2 linked regions of the Pelodiscus sinensis genome follow. The protein of the gene in region 2 interacts with the protein of the main gene of each other region in a pairwise test. Links are inferred from orthologs where the notes say so. Each region holds a gene or a part of one and is shown on either strand. Other genes may lie near its edges. The genes, in order: PKP3 and CTNNA3.

The links.
Region 1: the proteins of CTNNA3 (region 2) and PKP3 interact in a two-hybrid assay, tested with the Homo sapiens proteins (2 studies listed by IntAct). The link is inferred for Pelodiscus sinensis from reciprocal best matches to the Homo sapiens genes CTNNA3 and PKP3.

What each region holds. Positions count from the first base shown.
Region 1 is NC_134714.1:123,836,075-123,844,789, forward strand, and holds the start of PKP3 (plakophilin-3), read right to left. Parts: upstream 3,787-8,715; 5' UTR 3,666-3,786; coding exon 3,627-3,665; intron 1-3,626. UniProt on the Homo sapiens protein: A component of desmosome cell-cell junctions which are required for positive regulation of cellular adhesion. Required for the localization of DSG2, DSP and PKP2 to mature desmosome junctions.
Region 2 is NC_134718.1:27,638,343-27,647,233, forward strand, and holds the start of CTNNA3 (catenin alpha-3), read right to left. Parts: upstream 3,608-8,891; 5' UTR 3,509-3,607; coding exon 3,466-3,508; intron 2,022-3,465; exon of another isoform or gene 1,970-2,021; intron 1-1,969. UniProt on the Homo sapiens protein: May be involved in formation of stretch-resistant cell-cell adhesion complexes.

The sequences.
Region 1 (8,715 bases), on a different chromosome or scaffold from region 2:
GGCTCCCATCCCGGGTACCTGACCACGGGCCAGATCCAAAGCTGGGGCTGAACCCCAAAATAGCATTTAACTTCAAAAAGAGGCGGTACTACAAATGAGGAGGCTAGTTACACAGACATTAAAGGAACAATCACCAGGGTGAAATGCTGACTAGCTGCACGGAAACCATTGAAAAACCGTAAAAGAGGCTGCAACAAAGTGTATTACCTGCCCTCTCCCCCAAATGGCACCAGAATCAAACAGCTGAGTAAAAGAGGTCCTTAGATTGAAAAAGGCACCCTTGAAAATTGGAAGTCAAATTGCAGTGAGGAAAATAGATGTCAGAAAAATGCAGCTGTAAAGGTATAACAAGGCAGGTTGAGAACAAATTTGAAATGCAACTAGCTAAAGACACAAATACTAAGAGCAAGACAAGTTTAAGGACATGAGAAGCAGGAAGGCTGCCAAATTGGCAGGTGGGGCACTGGACAGTCAAGGTGATAAGGCCGTTAAGGAGGAACAAAATGAATTATTTGCATCCATCTTCACTGCAGATGTTGGGCAGACTGAACTGAGGAGACTGAACTGAGGAACTGTCCTAGACTGAGGTGACAATAAAACAGATTTTGGAACAAACTGAGAAATTAAACAGTATCAGGACACCAGAACCATGTGGCATTCACCTAAGAGTTCTGAAGGAACTCAGTTGTGGAATTGCAGAACTACTTACTGTGGTAAGTGACCTAATGCTTAAATCAGCTTCTGCTCCAGATGGCTGGAGGGTTGCTAATGTAGCACCATTTATTTTTTAAGTTCAGAGGGGATCCTTGCAATTGCAAGTTGGTAAAGCTAACTTCAGTACCAAGCAAATGGTTGTAAACTAGAGTAAAGAACAGAATTGTCAGACACAGAGATGAACACATTTGTTGAGGAAGAGTCTACACGGCTTTTAGAAAGGGAGGCACGCCTCACCGATCTATTAGGATGCTTTGAGAGTGTCAACAAACATGTGGACAAGGAAGATCCAGTGTTTCTAGTGTACTTGGACTTTCAGAAAGTCTTTGTCAAGGTCCCTCACCAAAGGTGCTTAAGCAAATTCAGTCATGGGATAAGAGGGAAGGTCCTTTCATGGATCAGTAACTGGTTAAAAGACAGGAAAGAAAGAGTAGGAATAAATGGTCCGTTTTCATAGTAGAGAGAGATAAATATCAGAGTCCCCCCAGGATCTGTCCTGGGGCTAGAGCTGTTTGACATATTCATACGTGATCTGAAAAAGGGGTGAACAGTGAGGTGGCAAAATTTGCAGACACAAAGTTACTGAGATAGTTCATTCCAAAGCTGACTAGGAAGAGTTACAAAGGAGATTCACATGACTGGGCAAGAAAATGGCAGATCACTTTCAATCTTAATCAGTGCAGAGCGATGCACAACAGAAACCATAATCCCCACGACACATAGAAAATGGTGGGGTCTAAAGTCACTGTTGTCACTCAAGAATGATCCAGGAGTCGTTGTGAATAGTTCTCTGAAAACGTCTGCTCAATGTGCCGCAGCAGTGAAAAAAAACCGACCCAAATGTTAGGAGCCGTTAGGGAAGGGAATGGTAAGACAAAAGTATGAAAAAGCCACCGTATCAATCCATGGTACACTCACACCTTGAACACTGCGTGTGTTTCTGGTCACCCCACCTCCAAAAAGATCTTGGAAACAACACAGAGAAGGACAAAAATAATGATTAGGGGTCTGGAACAGCTTCCATATGAAGAGAGATTAAGGAGACTGGGACTGTTTAGCTTAGAAAAGAGATGGCTAAGGACGGATATGTGAGAGGTCTATAAAGTCATGACCGGTGTGGAGAAAGCGAACAAAGACGCATTATTTATCCCTTCACATAAGACAAGAACCAGGGGTCACCCAATGAGTTCAAAGGCAGCAGGTTTACAACAAAGTCAAGGGAGTATTTCTTCATCCTACGCACAGACGACCCGTAGAACTGATTGCCATGGGTGTTGTGACAGCCAAAAGTAGAACGGGGTTCCAAAAGAATGAGATATGTTCACAGAGGATAGGTCTATACTGACGATTAAGCAGCATGGTCACGGATGCCACACTTTGCTCCAGATGCCCCTAAATCTCTGACTGCCGGCGGCTGGGACTGGACGGCAGGGGATGGAGCACTTGATAATTGCTCAGTTCTGTTTGCCCCCTTGGAAGCACCTGGCACCGGGAGACAGGACAGGGCTAGCCGGACCATGGCTCTGACCCCGCGTACCCATTCTTATGACCTCCATGAGGCTGAGGGCCCGACTCTGTATGTGCAGTGGGGCTGCCAGGCAGGGCATTTTGCACTGAGGAGGAGCCTGCAACTGCTGGGGAGTGGGTAGAGTGTCTAGTCAGGGACAGCTGAATGACCCCCCCCCCACACCACCATGGGGCAGAGCACAGCTCCGGGATGCACTGAAAGCCAACCCACACTCCCTCCGCCCCCGCCTGCCCGGCCACTGTCCCCACTGAGCGGTGCTGAGCCAGGAGAACAGTCTGGCCACATCTCTGCCTAGAGTGACTCCCGCATTAGTCCCCCTTCTGCTTGCTCACTTGCCCACACTCCCTCTCCCTCCCTTCTCCACCTGCTGCACCCTTGGTGCTCCCCACTTCTGCCCCACGGCTCGAACTCCGGCCAGGGACCACTGCAGCTTCGCCTTTCCTCAGCGGTGTTGGGTGCAGAGGGGAGGCGTCACCTGCACCCGCCACGAGCTACGAGCAGCCAGGCGCCAAAAGGGCTCCTGCAGCTCCTGCCAGGGAAGCCCCCAAACTGCTTCACAATCTCTGCCCACCGCCCTGCCTCTTCCCCCAGTGGCGGCCGCACAGCTAGCAGAGCTCTGGCCTCGGCACCGCTAGGCCTAGTGTGGAAACGGAGGCAGGGAGCAGTGATGTGACAGGCCCAGGGGTACCCAGCTGAGGTGCAGGAACCAGCTCGTGTGGCTCCCAGCGGAGAGGTCTGTCCCCTCAGCCCCACAAGCTGAGGTAGCCACCTCGGGCCCCGCCCTTGCTATGCAGCCCCCACCCGAGTAGGGCTGATAGAGTCACTGGGGTGGCTCAGCACAGTCAATGCTCGGAGAGGGGAGCAACTGGCCCTTCACAGAGCTGGGAAGTTACTGGGCGCTCAGGGCCTTGTCTCCCTTGTGACCTGCTCTGTCAAAGCCCCACAAGCATCCCTGGGCGCTGGCCCAGGAGGTGCAACTAGCCCTTGCCCTAGGGAGTCAGCTGCTATCACCTCTCCCCCACCCCCGGCACTTCTGTGCCATTCGCAAACCCACAGCAGGAGCACTGTGGGGCTCTGACCCTTTCTTCTGCCTGGTCCAAGCATCCGCTGCCTGGCCCGAGTGCCTCAAGGCCAGCACACGGCCACCACAAGTCCCACTCCTCAAGTCCCTGCCCCGGCTGTGGCACCCCCGACTCCCACGCCCCCCAGCTGGCCACCTCACCCCAGGGGAAGCGCAGGAGCCAGCACAAAGCACAGGAGCAGACTCCCTTGGAGACGGGGCTCACAGCAGCCCAGCATCCAAGTGACTTGGAGCTGGAAAATCCTGCAGCCTTAGGAAGTGGGGGAGCCAAGAGAGAGAGAAAGAAAAAAGGCGGAGACGTACGGTGCCCAGCGGCCTGGAGCCCAGGGTGCCCTGCAGCATTCTCCTGATGACGGACGGAGCCCAGCGCCCCCCGTGGTCCCAGGCAGATCTCCCCCTCCGCCGCCGGATGGGCCAACCGAACTAACTGTGCCGTCGCTGTGGCTGCCGACTGGCACACTGGGCTGGGAGTGGGCGACACCCGCTGAGCTGATCCAACCGGTTGCGGTGCCTTTGTTGCGTGCGTGTGGTGGAAAATGCATCATCGCCTCACAGACAAGTTTGTGCGCTCCGGGGTTTGGTGGAGCCCGGCTTACGTAGCTGCGAGGGGCGCTGGCTGCGCGGCGAGCACCTTGGCACGGGCTGGGGAGGCGGCAGGCCTCTCTCAGAGCTTCGCAGGAGGAGAGCAAGGCCTGCATGGAGCTGCCATCCCAGCCCGCCCTGGATACACTCACACGTGCGGGCACGTGGGCTGGGCATCCACAGAGGAATCTGTGAGGAGGCTGGGACATTGCTTCAGGCGATGGCCCTGGGCGCTTTACAAGAGGCAAGCCCCGGCCATCAGTCCCCTCTCACACTCCGCTCCATTGGCCCTCCTGGCCTACGCATCTCGGTCCCATTCCCAGGCCTCCTTTCCCCTTTCTCTCCCTCACTTCCCTCTTGGGCAGCTTAGGCCCATTATTAATACAGCAGGCTGACAGGGCACCTGTGTAGGTTCTGTGTAAATGGGCAGCTGGGCCAAACAAGCTGGGAGGGCCAGCAGCCTGGGGCGCAGGCCGGCAGGGTAAGATAAACAGAGGCGCACAGGGTGGGCTTTGCGTGGGTAGACACCCGGGGCCCAGCCTGAGTTGCTTGGGTGGCCTTTCTGACTGGACGGGGCGGTGAGGGCGGAGCTGCGCTGTCGGGAGTGGGCAAGGGGGATGGCTGCCAGGAGGGAGGCTTGGGTGGAGCCCAGGGACCATGGAGGGCTCAGACACGGGCAGGGCGGGGGCACAGAGAGCTTAGAAGGGCAGGAGGAGCTCAAACTTCACACAGCCTAGGCAGGGAGGCAGGAAGAGGGAGACAGGGCGCGAAGGCCTCGGTAGCCCGAAAAGGCTCCGGCGCTCTTGGGTCTGAACCTTGGAGGCGGGGAAACTCTCTGAGGGGAACTTTCCAGTGCGTCCAGCTGGGAATCCCCCCAGGGCAGCTGGCCAGCCATAGAGCATCCCCTGGGCGTGCGGCGAGAGGCCTGGATGGAAGATGCGAGGGGGGTTCCCAGCCGGACGCACTAGAAAGCTCCTCTCAGAGAGTTTCCCCACCTTAGAGGTTCAGACCCAAGAGCGTCAGAGCTACCGGGGGAGAGAACTGAGTGTCCATGAACCTCCCAAGAGCTTTGCTCCAAGCCTGGGGCAGAGAACCGGGGAGGCAGGGAGGTGCTACCTTTCTCCAGCCAGTGGTAGGGATGAAGTCAGTGGGATAGCTGGGCTTTGCAGAAGGAGGCGTGTAGATAAGTTCGTCGGTCCCTGCGGGATCCTCGGGGGTGGCGTTGATGCCCAGAAGTCAGCTTGTATCTGTCATGGGCCTGGGGCTGGAGGATCTAGCAAGCAGCAGCCTTAACTGAAAAGCCACATCAGCTGAGAGACAGGGAGGACGTAAAGCTGCCCAGTGAGGGCCCGAGCCCGGCGCCCCCACAGCACTCCCTGGCTCTAGGAGCAGGCCCGGTGCCCCTTTCGCAGCAGGGAGACCGAGCCCCACGTGCTTTCCATGGTGCACACGGCTCCAGCTGTCCTGCAGCCCACACAAAGACCAGCTCGTGCGCAACCTGGGAAGGCAGCTGCAACGGGAAGGGGCCTGTGCTGGGGTTGGAAGAACCTCGTATGCGACGGTCCCCTAAGCACTCAGGCTTCCAGTAGTCAGAGGAGCCTGTTTGCAGGCCCGGGATTCACTGGGAGCCATGTGCAGACCCCTTCACGGAAAGCTGGGGTTTCCACACGCCAAGCCGGTCGGAGCCATGGGCAGCCAGCCCTCTGAACTGCTCAGGCCTGGTCTTCTGGGGCAACCCAGCCTTCGCCAAGCCCACTGTGCAAGAGACGGAGGAGCATGTCTTGAGAGCAGCCCCTGCTGCACCCAAGTGCTTGGGGTGCCCAATACGACAGGGCAATAAACCCAGGAGCATTTCTCCCGCCTCGTGCTCACACAGAGAGAGGGGGCCGGTGGCTGGCACCTGGGAATGGAGGGGGAAGTGAGCTGGGAAGTGGCCAGGCAGACGGGCCGGACGCTCCCCCACAGGTCTGGCTACGTAGAGACAATCTGCCGGGTGTCACCCGAGCTGCCCATGTTCCCTGCTCCTGCTGGTGACCAAGAGGACAGCTGTTCTCTGGGAAGTGCTTAGAGGCTGCAGTGATGGCCCAGCCTACGACAGGGTGGTGCCTCTCAGCAGAAGTGATGATGCTGGAACGCCGCATGGACGGCAGGTGCGTGCTGCACCCTGCTATGCTGCGGCGGGAGGAGGAGATGTCAGGAATCGCCCAGGGCCTGGGAGGCTGAAGGCTTTCCCAGTCTGCCTGTGGATGGGCTGCCCATTGCAAGAGAATCCTGGTGATGGCCCTAAGATCAGAAGAATGTGCCGCGGCACCCGCTTTCTGGGCAAGAGAACATGACACCCGGCTGCGAGGGAATGTCAGTGATGGCGTCCCCAGGGTGGAGGGGCTGGACCAGGGTGTGTTGTGCAACTCAAGAGAAGCCACCTTTGAAAGAAGCCCAACCTGTGGCGCGCCGCCCAAAGGGCCGGCTTGGAAGTGACGCTCACATTAGTCACTCTGAACGGCCCGTCTCTGGTGGCAGAGACCCAAAGGATAAGCCAACGCCCCCCGCAACAGGGGCCCCCTGAGTGGCATTCGGGAGGCAATAGTTTAGATGCATGCAGCCTGGGAGACTGCCCCACTGTCCCGCCAGGGCAGAGATGGCCTGTGCAGAGGAAGGGGTGGGGCAGAGGAAGGGGCAGGACAGAGCTCAAGGGAGCTCCCCCGGCGCTCGTGGGCAGGAGTGCAGCCAGGGCTTGGCCTATCCTGGAAATGGTTCTTCATGCCGAGAGCAGGTGCCAGAAGTGGGACAGCTGCCGTCCCTACGGGTGCAGACTGGGCCTTGCTGTGCTCAGCAGCTTCTCCGAGAGCCGTGGCTCCAGCCAGGCCCCTGACAGCTTGAACCGAAGGTCTCCAGGCTCGGGCTGGGCTTGCTGCTGAACCGGTGCGGGCACACAGCCGTAAGAGTTTAGCCCACCACCCACGACTGCCAAACCTGAAACCGAGGCCAAGCCGGGCCAGTGTAGCCAACTCCACAGCACAAACACCTTTGGGACTCGGGGGTGTTTGGCAGTGGCAGGAATTCACCAAAATCCCTCCCTTGGGTTTGGTTTTCACCTTGCCCGTTCCCCAGGCCTCCATCACCCCCGGGGATGGGCTGGTAGCCCCCTGTACGTGTGCACACCCAGCACAACAGGCAGGGGCCACCGGCCTGTCAACACTTGCTACCAACAGCAACTGGGCTTTTGCTCCAGGGCCAGATTCCCAGGCACCTGGCAAGTAGGTTCTGAGTCCGAAATGGCAACCGGAACCAACAGTCTGTGGCTGATGCCCTGGCTCCCTCGCCTCGCACTGCCCCTCCTTGCTAAGCCAGGGGGCCAAAGGCCAAGGCGCCCTGCGGAGGAAGGCCAAGCTTATGGCCAGGGCTCCAGATTCACAGGGGAATGCTGGGCTGCAGGGCCTGTCGCCACCGGGCCTGTGGTTCGAGGCCAGCTCAGCCGGGGCACAAAGAATGAGTTTGCTGCCGGCCGGGTCTTCGCTAGCTTGTGTGAGGTGATCGCCGTCCAGGGGCTGGCGTTCTGAGCCTCCTCCTAGAACACACCCCTCCTGTCAGAACAAGCCTGGACTCCTTCCCACGCTGCCCCGGCCTGAACCTGGCCTAGAGTGAAATCGGGCTGCCAGTCTGGCACCCTCCCTCCTGCTACAGTCGAATGCGAGGAAAGCCACAGCCAGGTAGCGCTGTCTCTGTGCGCCCTGCACTTAGCCTGTCGCTCGGGGCTGCAACGGGCTGGCAAAGGCCCAACAGTGAGTCAATGGCAGGAGGGTTTCATAAGCCGCCAGCGGGTGAATGATTCTGGAATCTTCTGTGCAAACCCCCACGTCTCTTGCAAATGCCGGGCAGACTTCTCCCTGCTGACGAGCCGGAAAGCAAGGAGCCAACCTGAGCTGCAGGCTTCGCAGCCCCTCCAGATGCTGCACTTGGGATGTCCGAGCGAGGCTGAGCTGGAAACCTCTTTTCCCCACTACCTAACCCCCTCTGGAGACTTACGTGGGGCCAGCTCCTCAGCTGGTGCAAAGCAGAGCAGCCTCCTTGGAGTCAGTACTGCTCATGAAGTGCCCAGTTGGCTTGTCATAGGGATAATGATACTCACCCGCCTGTAGGAGACGCTCAAAGACCCTCCGGTATCCACTCTCATCATTGCAAGGTCCACGCACCAGACCTTTCTCTTTCCCTCTTTCTCCTCAGGGGCTCCTAGGTAGCAGCACTAATGCTCCCCTTCCAACTCAACTGTCCAAGCCACTGACTTCTGAGTGGACTTGGAAAGAGGCAAAAGGGGCTTCCCCCTCTCTGGCCAATTACACCTTCTCTCCTGACATTTCCTGCCCTGTCATCTTTGTGACATCGACTGCTTTCTCATGGGATCATTACAGGCCTTCCTGGCACCATTTATTCCCCAGGGACAGGAGAGGGCTGGGTCCCCAGTGACATCCCATCATTAGCCTTTGTTAGATCAAGGAAGTCACTGTCCCGCCCAGTTCCCTTGGTTCTTGTGACTGTGGTTCTATGAGGAAGCCATCTGGTCCCTAATAGTTGGGTGTCTAGCCTGTGCTTAATTAACTCCTTGGTAGCAACCTCCCTTAAAATAGAGCTGTTGTAATTTTTTAAATAGCAATTTGAAAGTACAGATACAATGGCCTTTAAAATATATGTTTACAAAATTATTCCAGTTTTCTTGGAATTTTCCTTTTTTTCAAAAACTTTGTTTTGTTTCATCATCTGCAGTTTTGATTGATCACCTTAGACACGTGCTCTTTTTGTAAATTAATTCTTT
Region 2 (8,891 bases):
TTTGGTCCAGTGTAGACAGGCCAAATGTTGGAAAAACCTCTTCCTACAGAAGAATTAAAAAAAAAAAGCAGCAGTATAAGGATTGGGGATAGCAAGTGATGGAGAGGAGGAGAATAGAGAGGGCGGGGCTTCAGGGAAGGGGCGGGGCGGTAGATCTTGGCTTGGTCTGTCATTTAAAAAATGATCTTGGGTGTAAAAAGGTTGGAGACCACTGCTGTAGGGGGATGGCAGGTTGCAGTCAGGTGTCCTGTCATCTGGGGGAAGGGGTGAGCTACTTGCAGAGCTCCAGGAAGTGGCCTTTCACGTATGGAAGTTCTGAAACTGCTGCTGGTCATTTTATGACTGCAGGACTATGTAGTCCCAGCAGTCTGAACTGATCTCCCTCCACCAGAAGCGGCGTCTGATGGTGTCCAGGGGTTTAGGAACATTTGCAGCAGCAGGAACACCAGGATGTGAGTGAAGGGATCCTCGTGTTTGGGCTAGATGTCATCCTGCTGGAGCAGCATGCAAACTATCTGGAAGAACTGTGCCAGGAAGTGCAGCATGAGGCCCATGAGGCAACTCTGGCTCCATGATGTCAATGCTGTGGCATCCACAAGGGCAACCAGGGCACACTGCATCAATTTGGAGTCCTGTGATGGTGGAGGCAATGTAGGAGTGGTGTGAGAGATGCGGCCATAGAGAGGAGCCCCTGAAAGCATGTGTCGCAGCTTCCCATATCAAGCAGCCACAGGAAGTGTCTGCCCTCTTGGTGCCTTCCTCAGAGTGCTTCTGGGGGATCTAAATCTGAAGAAGGCTCCAATCAGTGTGGACGCACTATTTTAAAATTATTCTGAGCTATTTCGATGTTCCCCTATAATGTGGATGCTCTATTTCAATGTTATTTCATATATTAATTTGATTTAACTTCTTTTGAAATTATTTTCTAGTGTAGACATGCCCTTAGAAATTAACAAAAGTATATATAGTATCGTGAGCTTTGGTGGGCAAAACCCACTTCTTCAGATGAGTTTGAGTTCATCTGAAGAAGTGGGTTTTGCCCACCAAAGCTCATGATGCAAAATCTTAGCAGTTTTCAGTTAGCACAGTTTTCACAGCATTGCTTACAAACTTTTGAATCCTCAGCTCTGACCCATAGACATATTCATAACATACATGAGTGGAAACATGACTGTTATGTTATTAATTGGGAGCATTCTTATGGATTAGAAACATATCAAAGAGCAAAGCATAGAGGTAATGGGGGAAATAACCCAAGATACTTTCTGATTTGTATCTCCAAAAGAATCACTTGTAACTGGGACTATCTTGCCTCTTCAACGAATAAACAACTTTTCCAGGTGAGCATTTCTACTGAGATCACAGCCCTTTGTTAATAAAAACAAAAGAACTACTCCAGCACAGTATGCCCTTTGGACACAATAGGACTGTTGGTTATAAGATACTATGATGCCAGGCTACTATAACTTGGAACTCAACTTTATTAATCTATACACTTATCCATTTCACCAGTATATTGCAACATTTCATAATACAGAACCGTAGACATGACTTTTAGGTGTTATGGAAATAGAGTATTCCTGTCTGTGGAACCAAAAAACAACCTGCATTCTTACACAATGGTATACTTTAAGCTAAGTGCTAACTTTTATGATGTCGTCTTATCAAGAATGATCAAGAACAGCTTGTCCAAACTGACATACCTTTTATAGATATATTGAACTAAGAGGCAAGTAAAAAGAAAGAAAAGCAAAAAAGTTCTGTGGCCTGAAATAAAATTCAACTATACAAATGATAATTGTTAGAGAAGTTCTGAAGTACAATTTGGATACTCTTTAATTTAAATAAAATATTGTAACAACAGAAACTGGGACCAAAAATACGCTAATCTTTCTAATATATAATCATTAGAAGTTTGATTGCTAAATCATCACAAATTATATTAAAAAGATAATGCCTCATAACTCACCTATCCCAAACACAAACCGTCCACATTCAAGAGGAAAGCAATGGTCTAAACACCAGGAAAAGTACTTAGGACTTCAGTACAACTATTATAGCTAATGGTGCATCTGCGACCTCATGGCCTGACAAGCACTCTAGTGTATTTCAGGATGACTGACAGGGTACAGTGGCTGCTAGTGGGGGCTGGGCATCCTTAAAGCTATATACAAAAGTAGAAATATTTCAAGATACAATTAAAAATGGAGCACAATTAAAAATGGAGCAGTATTCTTATTTATTTTGAAGAACTAGAGGACATGAAGTAAGTTTTTCTACAACGTCTTTAAGAAAGAGATAAATAAGAGAAAAATATCACACTGCCTCTATAACAATCCATGGTGTGCCCATATATTTAATACTGCATGCAAATGTGGTCACCTCATCTCAAAATAGATATCTTAGCACTGGAAAAAAGGTTCAGAAAAGGGCAGCAGAAATGAGAGATATGAAAATGTGCCATATGAGGAGAGATAAGACTGGAACTTTTCAGCTTGGAAAAGAGACAACTAAGGGGAGATATGATTGAGGCATATAAAATTGTGATTGGTATGGACAGGGTGACCATATTTCCCAATGCTGAATACACGACGCCTGGTAAAATTACTCCAATTCAAGTGAGTTGAATAGGAATCCATCAGAATTATACAATACAAATTTTCAAATTAACTTCAGACTGACTGCACTCCTGTTGAAAATAAAAACTGCACAGCTGGAGTCTTTTTATTTACCTTATGTTTAAGGTTTGCACAGGGAGAGATGACACACACATATTCCCTACGTCTCTCTCACATCAGGATGGGGTGACCGACCAACCTCACCCTGTTCAGTGCTCTCCACCCTCCTTGCCTGACAGTCCCTGGGATGGACTCATCTCTCCTGACATCTGGTGCTGCATCTTCTCAAGACAACATGTGGGGGAGGAGGTATGCAGGGTTACAGGAACCCTTCTCTGATTTCTGTTGGGGTTTATGGCAGAGCATGGCAAGCAGCAGCCGATCAACACTGTGCAGGAGGGAACGGATGGAAGGAGCTTCCAGCAGAATGGAGGTGGGAGTTGAGAGAGGGATGAACTGGCCCATGTTTTTCCAGAGGTCATCTCCTCCTTCCCTCTGCTCCTCAATGCCTGGAAGCAGCTTGTCCCTTCCTACCCACACAGTGTAGAAAGGCAGCTAACACCTTCAAGCTGCTGCTGGCTACTGACATAGCCCAGCTGCCTCTTGTCTTCCAGCTGCAGTACAGGCAGGAAGGGGCTAAGCCCTAAGCATGTACTAAACAGGGCCCAGGGAACCTGACGGCAGGGGCTTTAGCCAAACTGGCCGGAGAGGTGGCTCAGCAGGGAAGGGTGCCTAGGAGACAGAGCAGACTCACACTCCCTGGGGGCAGGACATAGTGCGATTGGCAACACGTGAAATCTTTAAAAGACTCATTTCCATGAGACTGCTTCAAACATCTGAGACTCACCTGCAGCCTTCAACCCAGCTCCTTCCAAACTAAGTAGCACCATGCCAGAGTCAGAACAGGCTGCGTTGCAGGTCCCCTCTGCTCAGTGTCCAAACAGATCCCAAGCTGTTCTCCCACAGCAATTGCCCTCAGCCCCCAACATTCTCAGCAAGCAGCTTCCCCTCTGGCTTCACTTTCCCCTCTTATAGGCCTCACCTGGGCCTGTGGGGTGCTGACATGCTCCAGCTAATTCCTGAATCCTCCCCTCCATGAGCCTTTGTCTAACAAGCCAGGGCCCTACAGCTGTGGGTTTCTTACTCCTGCCTCCTTCTGGACTATCTCAGGGCTCCAGATGGGTGGAGGGCTGCTGAGTGGGGCTAAAATAGTGCAAAGCAACCGGAGCAAATAGGTGAATCCTGCCCATCACTTCAATATCAAGAAAGAAATCCACTAATCTCCTGTGGCATTAAGGCAGCCAGCTTGCCTTCATCACCACTCTCCAGCCAACACTGGCTGCTGCATCCCTGGCTGTCTTTGCCTTACTCCTCTGCTTCCAGTTGTATCCACTTCCACCTCCCAAGGGTGGCATGTTGGCTACCAGGCTGGCACTGAAGCAATTAAATGAGGCAGCTCTCTGATAATGCAGGCTGGAACTCTCAGGGAAGGCTGGAGGTTCAACAACTGGGAGAAATTACAACTTCACTTCCGAAGAAATGAGATGACCCCATCCATCAGTCACTGAATTGTCAGTGTGAAAGCCTCCTTCTTAAACAATCAACCTATTCGCATCCTGGGTGGCATCAAAACTGCATGTGAGGGATGTAGTGCAAGTGTTGGGACATCCCTTGACTAGCTGAAGTTAAGCCCCATCCCAACTGGGCCAGAACAGTTCATCTGCACCACACTGTACTTTACCTACTGCTGAGGCAGCTTAAGAGAGATGCCTATTGTTTTGTGCTCCTGCTTCTATTCTGGATATTATGGTACCTCCTGGAGTGTGGAAGGGTGTGGAGTCTGACTAGGGCCTCTCTGTCTGGGAGGGAGAAGAATCCCTGGGACACTCTATGGCCACAGATGGCCAAGATCTTACATTTTATAACCCCTCTGTAAGGGCACCTGCAACAGCTCTCTGCCCTGCTACAGCCCCTCTGCTGCATTGCCTCAATGTGCTAGCTCAGAGAGACTCATCAGCATCTCGGTTTTCCCTCTGCCTGGTGCCAGCCCTGCTCAGCTTGTGGGAAATGACCAGAGCACACCCCAATGCCACAAGGCTGTGGCACAGTGCCGTGCTGTCTAGGGCTTGTGAGTGACTTTCCCCAGCAAAACATGCGGTCAAGTTGACTTTGGACCTGAATTTCCAAATGAAAAGCACAAGCACCATGGTATCTTTCCTTCCACGGCTTGTGTCCACGCATCATCAACTGCCTGCTTGCAAGATAATGATGTCTGATTTTGGAGCCAGCTGGTGCAAAAGTGTTACCATGTGGCACTAGGAGCTAAGCACTTGAGAACAATGGCTTGGATGCGGGATTTTCTTGTGGGATTCAATAGAAGGGTGGAGGGTACAAAACAGATTCATGAGGGGGAGATTTAATAGCCACAACAGCGCAGTACTGTGGGCACAAACAAGTTTTCCTGTAAGGCTGAGCTAAAGGTAAACCCCTGAAAGAGATTGGCTGATCATATACAAAGTTACTGAGCCCAAGTTCTGTTCCTCCAGGATCTCTGTCTACCTGCCCCACTTGTCCACTTTAAAGAGCTCTTAGCTCTGGCATAGACAGACCACAGGTGGTATATGGCTCATAGAAGCTCACAAAGGAGGGGGTGACCAATGGATTCCCTCTATGGATCTGTACTGGGCGGGGGGAAATACCCTAGACAGGGAAGTGAACAGGGAAGTGGCAAAGTTTGCAGATGATACAAAAAATATTCATGAATATTAAGGCCAAAGCAGACTGTAAAGAGCTAAAAAGGGATCTCACAATTCTGAGTTCCTAGGCAACAAAATGGCAACTGAAATTCAACATTGAGCCCTGGCCTACGTTCTCCTTATTTCGAAATAACAAGTGGAGCATCCACACAACCAAGCCTGTTACTTCACAATAACGGGCTGGTTATTTTGAAATAACAACTCCTGCTTTCCATGAGGAATAACAGTTATTCTGAAATAGCGTGAGTGTGGATGCTTCACTGCTGCTATTTCTAAATAATTACTCCTCAGAGTCATTCAAAGTAATTACTCCCCAGTGCTTCCTGGGGTTCTAAGTCGAGGTAGCACATCCATATTAAAGGAGGCTTCCTGGGACTAATTTCAAGAATTCCCTGTAGTGTGGACACGCTATTTCAAAATAATTCTTTTGGGAGTTATTTCAAAATAATTTCCAAGTGTAGACATGCCCAAAGAAGTGCAAAGAAATGTACTTTGGAAAAGATAATCCCATCTATATTTATATAATGATGGGTTCTAAAATAGCTTTTATGCTAGCAAAAGATGTTGGAGTCACCATGGGTAATTCTCTGAAAACTTCTACTCCTTGCGCAGCAGCATTTACAAAGGTTATCGGTATATTAAGGATTATTAGGAAAGGGATAGAAAATAAAACAGAAAATCCCATCCTGCTACTATATAAATCCATGGAATGCCTACATCCAGAGTATTCTGTCCAGTTTTGAGTGAAATGTCTAAAAAAGCAGACAGTGGGATGGAAAAAGATTCAGAGAAGGTGCTAAGGGTCTAAAGAAGTTCTCAAAAATTAACTTTTTTAATTATTGTTATTTGTGAAGTGGAAGAAAGCATTAAATCACTGCTTGTAACATGTGCAGGTGACAAAATGCAAGCAGCGTGGTAAATAAGGCTGGAGCCAGGGCAGTGACATAGAACGATCTGGATCCCTTAGGAAGCTGGACCCATGTGAACAGAACAGGTTTTCACAGAGCCAAATGCAAGGCCCTACCTCAGTCCCAAAGCATGCAGGCCACACCCCTGGAATGAGGGACACAAGCAGTGTCTCTGAGGAGGATGTAGGGGTCCTGTTAGGCAAGTTGCTCAATAGAAGCTTCTAAAGCGATGCTGTGGTCAATACGGCTAAAGGCAGCATTAGACATATGAGCAGATGAGGGAGTAGGGCAGATAGGTGACACTGCATCCGTGAGACTGAGTCTTTGTCTATACTTCAATGATCTATCAGAAAAAGGTACGCAAAATACACTCCGCAATTTTTTTTTTGGCGAACGGGAGCAGCAAACAGGGAGTTTTGAGAGGGAGTTCTCCAGGTAAAGGAGGAGCAAGTACGGGACCCTTGAGGTAAGTGGCTGTCTGTAGAGTGTGTTTGTGTGTTTGGGGGTTACTTACTGTGTGCTGAGCTTGTGTTTGTCTGTTTATTGTGTTTGCTTGTTTGTTTGAAGGAGCGTGTGCTGTGGCTGGCAGTTGGAAGCTGTGAGCTTCTAAAGGTTTGAAATCTAGGGACAGGTAGGCAGGCAGAGCTTCAGCATCTCAATGAGTGGATGAGACAATGGTGTAGGGAGGTGGGGTTAGCTTTATAAGAAACTGGGGAAACTTTTGGGATGGAGGGAGCCTATACAGGAAGGATGGGCTCCACCTAAACCATAGTGGATCCAGACTGCTGGCACATAACATTAAAAAGGTCACAGAGCAGTTTTTAAACTAAGAGATGGGGGAAAGCTGATTGTTGCAGAGGAGCACGTGGATCGGACAGAGATGTCTCTTAGAGGAGAGCCTATTGAAAGAGATTCTCTAGGTTTTAGTCAGGAGGAGAGGATGGAAGAGGATAAAGTATTGGCCAGATCAGATGAAAAGCATTCACATAAAAAAGAATCTGACACATCAGAAAAGGGCAGACAAATAAACAGTGACAAGTTTTTAAAGTGCTTGTACACAAATGCTAGAAGTCTAGAGTGCCTCGTTTTAAAGGAGGATACTGATATAATAGGCATCACAGAAACCTGGTGGAGTGAGGACAATCAATAGGGCACATTCATTCCAGGGTACAAAATATATCGGAAGGTCATGCGGGTGAGGGAGTGGCACTATATGTGAAAGAAAATTTAGAATCAACTGAAGTCAAAATCTTAAATGAATCAACATGTTCCATAGAATTGCTATGGATAGTAATTCCCTGCTCTAATAAGAATATAACAGTAGGGATCTATTACTGACCACCTGACCAGGACAGTAATAGTGACTATGAAATGCTAAGGGAGATTAGAGAGGCTATCAAAATAAAAAACTCAATAATAGTGGGGGATTTCAACTGTCCCCATATTGACTAGGTATACGTCACCTCAGGATAAGATGAAAAGATAAAATTTCTTGATACCTTAAATGACTGCTTCTTGGAGCAGCTGGTATAGGAACCCACAAGGGGAGAGGCAATTCTCGATTTAGTCCTGAGTGGTGTGCAGGATCTGGTACAAGACGTAACTATAACAGGACCGCTTGGAAATAGTGATCATAATATAATAACATTTAACATTCCTGTGGTGGGAAGAACACCTTAGCAGCCCAACACTGTGGCATTTAATTTCAAAAAGGGGAACTATGCAAAAATGAGAAGGTTAATTAAACAGAAATTAAAAGGTACAGTGACTAAAGTAAAATCCCTGCATGGACACTTTTCAAAGACACCATAATAGAGGTGTCTATTAAATGTATACCCCCAACTTAAATGTATACCCCAAATTAAAAAACATAGTAGAAGAATTAAGAAGAGCCACTGTGGCTTAACAACCATGTACGAGAAGCAGTGAGAGATAAAAAGGCATCTTTTAAAAAGTGGAAGTCAAATCCTAGGGAGGTAAATAGAAAGGAACATAAACACTGCCAAATTAAGTGTAAAAATGTAATAAGAAAAGCCAAAACCTCAATAATAACAAAATGTTTTTTATGTACATCAGAAGCAGGAAGCCTGCTAAACAACCAGTGGGGCCCCTGGACAATTGAGATACAAAAGGAGCACGTAAATATGATAACGCCATTGCAGAGAAACTAAATGAATTCTTTGCTTTAGCCTTCATGGCTGAGGATGTTCGGGAGATTCCCAGACCTGACCCATCCTTTGTAGGTGACAAATCTGAGGACTTGTCCCAGATTGAAGCGTCATTAGAGGAGGTTTTGGAATTAATTGATATACTTAACAATAACAAGTCACTGGTACCAGATGGCATTCACCCAAGAGTTCTGAAAGAACTCAAATGTGAAATTGCAGAACTATTAACTATGGTTTGTAACCTATCCTTTAAATCAGCTTCTGTACCCAACAACTGGAAGATTGCTAATGTAACGCAAATATTTAAAAAGGGCTCTAGAGGCGATCCTGGCAATTACAGACCGGTAAGTCTAATGTCAGTACCGGGCAAATTAGTTGAAACAATAGGAAAGAATAAAAGTGTCAGACACATAGAAGAACATTAATTTGGTGGACAAAAGT